2 linked regions of the Mus musculus genome follow. The protein of the gene in region 2 interacts with the protein of the main gene of each other region in a pairwise test. Links are inferred from orthologs where the notes say so. Each region holds a gene or a part of one and is shown on either strand. Other genes may lie near its edges.

What was found.
Region 1: the proteins of Naa10 (region 2) and Kifap3 interact in binary tests that used the Homo sapiens proteins (3 or more experiments, as listed by UniProt). The two-hybrid records come from large-scale screens. The link is inferred for Mus musculus from reciprocal best matches to the Homo sapiens genes NAA10 and KIFAP3.

What each region holds. Positions count from the first base shown.
Region 1 is NC_000067.6:163,859,492-163,863,314, reverse strand, and holds part of Kifap3 (kinesin-associated protein 3), read right to left. Parts: intron 1,361-3,823; coding exon 1,195-1,360; intron 605-1,194; coding exon 479-604; intron 1-478. UniProt on the Homo sapiens protein: Involved in tethering the chromosomes to the spindle pole and in chromosome movement. Binds to the tail domain of the KIF3A/KIF3B heterodimer to form a heterotrimeric KIF3 complex and may regulate the membrane binding of this complex.
Region 2 is NC_000086.7:73,916,162-73,919,059, forward strand, and holds the end of Naa10 (N-alpha-acetyltransferase 10), read right to left. Parts: intron 1,792-2,898; exon of another isoform or gene 1,767-1,791; coding exon 1,682-1,766; intron 1,126-1,681; coding exon of another isoform or gene 1,035-1,125; coding exon 798-1,034; 3' UTR 709-797; downstream 1-708. UniProt on the Homo sapiens protein: Catalytic subunit of N-terminal acetyltransferase complexes which display alpha (N-terminal) acetyltransferase activity. Acetylates amino termini that are devoid of initiator methionine.

The sequences.
Region 1 (3,823 bases), on a different chromosome or scaffold from region 2:
CATCCGTGGGCCAGGGCAGGCATGTGACATTTATTTTCCTGGCAAGTTCACAGGACAAAAATCCTGTACATCTACAAGAGAATATGATGTTTAGGATCAGTTTTGAAGTTAACATTCTTACCTAGAAGTGAAGATATAAGAAGCAAGGATTGCAAGATAGAGAAGACTTAACTCAAACCGAGATGAGGCTAGACAGAAAGAAGTGAGGCAGTGTTGGAGGTTAGAGGAGGGAGGAGCACATGAAGTCAGCCCAGAGCTGCTTCACAGTAACGTTCCCGACAGCAACCTCCAGGCCTTTCATATCACTCTATCCAATCCAACTCAGCAGCTTAGTTTAGTTTATCTTTTGTAATTACATAATTTAGTTAATCCTATGATTAATGAAAGAAAACAGATATTATATAACATTGCAGACTGTATTTTATGTGTTAAAATGTATAATAGTATCTTGTATGCGTTGGCAGAGCATGAGAGTTACCGTTCAGCAGCTCGATGAGGGCTGGGATTATCCCAGATTTGGCCAGTAGGGCAGCACAAGAGTCATCCATAGACACCGTCCCAATCATGATAACCACTTCTAAAACAAGGTCATCCTCTGCGGCACCTGGCGGGATCAAGGCATGGAAGGTTGTTGTTGACGTGGTTGGAGCAAGCTCATTTGTTCTATCAAATGTGAGTGCACAGAAAAAAAATACTGAAAGATTCAAATCCATCCCTATGGATCTACCAATCTTTGACATGCTTATAAACTTGTCTTTTTTTTTTTCTTTTCTTTTCTTCTCCGTTTGTTTTGTTTTGTTTTTTGTTTTTATTCATGATGGCCTATTGACTTGGTGAGACAATAGAAGGTGTAAATATATATTTGAAAATACAACTGAAAGATAACAAAAACAGACAATAAAAGACTCTTGTCAATGTTTCAAAGAATTTTGTGTTTGTGCTTCCACATCTTTCTGTATACATGGGGGTGGGGACACTTATCAATAAACATATGGTAAAAATAGAAAAATAAACAGGAGAGGGAAACTAATGTTAAGAAACCACTGTTAGGACAAATACAGAATTTACAGAAAATTGTCCTCAAAACAAAGCTGTCAGAAGAGCATGCTAGTTATAACAGTGGACTCACACAATGCTGGGCTAGAATCTTATCCAAACCTAGAGCTTATGCAGAGCTCTACAATGAACACAGACCTGGCTTTAGTTTGTCTTTGAGGAATGGAACCAGCTTGTACTCCTTCAGGACCAGTTCCCAGTCTAGATCTGGGATTGTCAGATTTGCCAGCGTTCCCAAACACTCGATTACAAACTCCTCCTCTTCATCACTGGAAATCTGGGCTGCAAGGTCCCCAACATAATCCTGAGGACAGAGAATTTCAATGGAGCTAGAATCTAGGAGAGGAGCCCAACTAATAATTCAACCCACAAACAGAAACATAGTTCTCCATGTAACTGAGTTAACTTGCTAAGGTCTGATTATCAGCTCTAGGGGTTCTGCTTCCCTCCCTCCCTCCCTCCCTCCCTCCCTCCCTCCCTCCCTCCCTCCCTCCCTCCCTCCCTCCATGTTGAGATAAGTGATAGTGGTAATTGTGTACAAAGGTGCATAGATAAAGAAGGAAGGGCTATTTTCTCCTTCATGCCTAAAAGCTGTAGATCCCAGATTCAGAAAGACTTGCTCTCAAGTCACAGCTCAATCACTTACTGGTTGTGAACCTTAAGGATATTTCAATTTCTGAAAACAGGCTGCTGCCTTTAAGAATATAATTTAAAAGGGCACATAATGGAATTATGATCTATACAGTAACTACTTTATACATATTAGAGCTATTACTGTCATTACTTGAAAATAAATCTATTTATTTAATTTAATCTGTATTCTTTCATATATTATTTTTATTATTCTTTAATATTTTTTATTGGATATTTTCTTTATTTACATTTCAAATGTTATCCCCTTTCCTGGTTTCCCCTCCAAAAAAACTCCCTCCCCTATCCCTTCCCCCCTCTTCCTACTTACCAACCCACCCGCTCCCTCTTCCTGGCCTTGGCCTTCCCCCACATTGGGGCATAGAGCCTTCATAGGACAAAGGGCCTCTCCTCCCATTGATGTCCGACTAGGCCATCCTCTGCTGCATATGCAGCTGGAGCCATGAGTCCTACCATGTGTGCTCTTTGGTTGGTGGTTATCCTGACTGCAGTTCCCTCTTCCTCCCTCCCTTCCACCTCTCTCCCCTCACTTCTCCTCTCCTCCCAATCCACCTCCCCTCAGAAAAGAGCAAGCCTCACAGGGACATCAACCAAACACAACATAACAAGCTACAATACGACCAAGACCAAGTACCTCCCATCACATCATGGCTGGGGAAGGCAGCTCAGTAGGAGAAGCAGGGTCCCATGAGTAGGCAAGAGACCCAGGGACAGCCCCCACTTCCACGTTAGGATTCCCAAAAGAACAGCAAGCTAATCAGCCATAACATATATGCCAAGGACCTATGTCAAACCCCCTACAGGCTCCCTGTACTCTTCAAGTCCCCAGAGTCCCAGTCAGTTGATTCTGTGGGCCATGTTCTCCTGGTCTGTTCCTGACTCCTCTGGCTCCTCCAATCGCTCCATCCACCTCCTCAGCAGGACTCCCTGAGTTCAGCCTAATGTTTGAATGTCAGACTCTATATCTGCTCCCCTCAGTTGCTGGATGAAGTCTCTGGTCTCTCAATAATGATTCTGCTAGGCTGTCGTCCTAGCACACTCTTCAGGCAGGGCAAGTTGTAGGATGAAGGTTTTGTAGCTGGGTTGGTGTCCTAATCCCTCCATTTGAGTGAGGCCTTTTGCCCAGTTAAGGCAGATGGCTGACTTAGGCTCAGTGTCCCCTATTATTAGAGTCTTGGCTAGGGTTTCTCTAGTAAATTTCATCGAGTCTCCATTGCACTGGGTTTTCACCTTTCCCCCAAATGGCCTCCAATTCCAGTCTTTTCTCCCAGTCTTTTCTTCCTCCCTCCCCATGAATCTGATCCCTCCGGTTCCCAACTCCACCTGTCTCAGTTCGCTCCCCAAATCTATTCTATTTCCCTTTCCCCAGAGACTCCCTGTGACCCCTCTCTAAGTCTGTAACTCCCTGTTACTTAGGCTCTTTGGGTTGGTGGTTTGTTGCATGATTATCTTTTTCTTTACAGCTAAGATCCATTTGTAGGTGAGTCTATACAATGCTTGTCCTTTTGCTGCTGGATTACCTCTCTCAGGATGATATTTTCTAGTTCCATCCATTTGCCTACATAGTTCATGAGGAACTTGTTTTTAATAGCTGAGTAGTATTCTATTATTTAAATGTACACATCTTTTTTTTTAATCCATTCTTCAGTTGAGGGACTTCTAGGTTGTTTCAAGTTTCTGGCTATTATGAATAAAGATGATATGAACATAGTGAGCAAGTGTCCTTGTGATATGATGGATTATCCTTTGGGTATATGCCCACATGTGGGACAGCTCTGTCTTGAGGTAGATCAATTTCCAATTTTCGGATAAACTACCATATTGACTTCCAAAGAGTCTGGATGAGTTTGCACTCCCACTAGCAGTGGAGGAGTGTCCCCTTGCACCACATCCTTGCCAGCATTTGATCTTAGCCATTCTGACTAGTGTAAGATGGAATCTCAAAGTCATTTTAATTTGCATTTCCTAGATGGTTAAGGATGTTGAAAATGTCTTGGTCATTAGAGATTTCTCTGTCAAGAATTCTGTTTAGGTACTGTACCACATTTAAATAATCCATTTAAATTGGATTATTCAGTTTGTTGATGTCTAGTTTTTTGAATTCTTTATATATTTT
Region 2 (2,898 bases):
GCTAAGAATGAGAGATCCTGTCTCTCAAAAAAAAAAAAAAAAAAAAAAAAGGTTACAGATAGGAAGAGCCTAAGCACCTGGGGCTAGGATCTCTCCAGATAAGTGCAATGAGCAGTTGGACTTGGGCATTTGGGGTTCCAGAAGCTCCTACTGATGAGAACAAGTATGACCTAGGGTAAAGGGCTGAGAGGGGCATAAGGGGGCAAAGCAGTACAGCAAAGAACATCAAGGTAGGAGAGCTGCCTCTGAAATGTGAGGCTGACTAGAAAGCCCAGGAAATCATTTTGTTCAGCCCTAGAAAATTACATTAGGACAAAAAGGACATTAATGAGGCCTATAGGCCAGACACGTGACATCAGAATATAGCACCCAGCCGGGCGTAGTGGCGCACACCTTTAATCCCAGCACTCGGGAGGCAGAGGCAGACGGATTTCTGAGTTCGAGGCCAGCCTGGTCTACAAAGTGAGTTCCAGGACAGCCAAGGCTACACAGAGAAACCCTGTCTCGAAAAACCAGAAAAAAACAAAAAACAAAAAAAGAATATAGCACCCAAAACAGTTTACCTGCCAACTTCAACTCAGTTGTTGAAGATAGTCAGATTTGGGGTCCCATCCTCAAATCTGTTTTGACTTGTGAGCTCAATACAGTCTAGGCTGTGAAGATAGTATCCCTGACACATAGGAACTGGAAAAAAAAAAGCATACCCCACTATGCACATTCACAAATTTCCCAAGGCCACTGGGTGACATTTATTGTAAAAGCACATGGGGCAAGGTTGGGACCAGGTGGGGCAGGTTCTAGGAGGCAGAGTCAGAGGCCTCTGAGCTGTCTTTGACATCTGTGCTCTCTGTGGTCTCGCTGACCTCACTGAGGTCCTTGCTGTCCCCACCACTATCCTCAGCAGCCAGGCCCTTCTCCTCACGACAGGCCTCTCCTGAGCTCAGAAGCACGTTGCCTTTGTTCTCCGCTTTGTTCTCCAAGGCCGCCAGAACCATGTGCTTGCCCTTTTCCTTCAGCTCCAGGTGCCGCCTCAGCTGCCGCCAGGAGCCCAGAGGGAAGCGGGTGGAAAGAGACAGGGCCTAAGTCTCCAGACAGGAGACAAGAGGAGCCAGGCCCTGAGGCTGGCTGGGGGAAGGGACACAGTGAGAAGTGGTAGGGCCAAGGCAAGAAATAGGACTGGGTAGAAATGTAGTTCAATCCTAGCTCTGCCCTAAGCCTGCTTTCCTCATCTGTAAAATGACAAAGGTCCTATTGCCCTCAAATGTGCTGTTGGGGAGCCTCCAAGACAGAGCAGTACCTCCCCAGGAGGCTTGGTCAGAGACCCTTTCCCCCTAGCCCAGTTTAGTCCTAAATCTGAGCAGGCTGCCCCTGACCCTAGTAGTCCCTCTCCCTAGAAAAATATCTTCCTACTCTCTCTCCTGTTCCACCCACCTCCAGGCTTCTTCCCTAGAAAGCATCCCATAGCCCCCTCTAGAGTCAACAGAGGCCATGTCACAACTTGACAGCTTAGGAAGTGAGGGAAAGAGGGGCTCTACAACGACAAGGGCTGACACTCAATCTTGGTCTTGCCTCTAGCCACCACTGCCTCACTCAGTCTCACAGCTCTAAAGTAGCCACCTTTCCCAAGTACAGAATCTCCCCTGCTGCTGGAATTGCTGCCCTGGACTGGCTGAACTCTTACCTCATCAGCCATCTGCGTGAGGTCCCGCTTCATTGCATACGCATCTTCCCCATCTGCATAGTATTTGGGCTCCACTTCGCTGATCCTGGGGGTAGGATCAAGACACATGCCTAGGGGCAAATTCTCCTGGTTCTTAGGCTACTGGGGTAAATGTCATCTCCCCCATAGAACCTTTGTAGAGGCAAAAAGCCAGTGTGAATGGGCTTCTCCTTTTTGTTTTTCATTTGAATGAACTCTTGTCCAACTGCTGTGATAGTTATCTCTGCTTTTCCAGTGAAGCCGAGCAGCATGTAGCATCCAGGGTACTTCCCATTCCTAGACTTGCTACCACTTTGTCCCTAGCCTGACCAGCAAGGACTTGTGTTTTCAGTTGAAGCCCCTAGTTCTGCTTCTTCCTCTCCCTGACCTGCTTCTTATCATTTACTGAGCACATAGCCAGTTCCTCTGCTAGGAAAAAGGGACACTGTACCTGCATGTAGATAGTCAGCATAGACAACCTGGTTACTGACCAGATGGCTGAGGGAGGGGAGGGAGGTGTGTGTGCACACTTGAGTAGCCCTGACACTGGAAGGGAAGCCCTTTGATGACCTAGGAAGGTTCCTTGCCAGTCTTCAGAGGTACATGTTGGGTATCTTCCTCAGTTGCTTTCCACCTTATTTTTATTTTTTCAAAATAGGGTCTCTCACTGAATCTGGAACTTGTCCATTCAACTAGGCTGGTTGATTAGTGAACCCCAGGGACTCTCTTGTCTTAACCTCTTCAGCACTAGGATAACAGGTGCGGGGCACTGTATATGGCTTTTATGCATGGGTGCTAGGGATCAAACACACGTCCTCACAATTAAGCTTAATTGAGACAGGGTCTTGCTATGTGGTTGAGACTAACCTGGAACTCACTATGCTGGAACTCCAAGCCATAGTCGTCTACTTTGAGTGCAGAGATTAAGAGGCGTGTGTTACCATACCCAGCTGGAAACTGCTGACTTAGCAGCTAAAGCAGTTCCTGTTGCAGAGGCGTCTTAACTACGTCAAAGAGCCCTCCATGAATCTGGATGTAGAACCCAGAAAAGCTGAAGACTACTACCCTGTCCCAATGGTGTCATCTTCACTGGACACCCTCCAAGTCTAGTGTGGTTCAGTGGTTTCTCAAGTTAGTCTACTCCAGCCCCATTTTCCAGTAGCACTAGGTACTACCAAGTCCTCTCTTCATGGAGATGC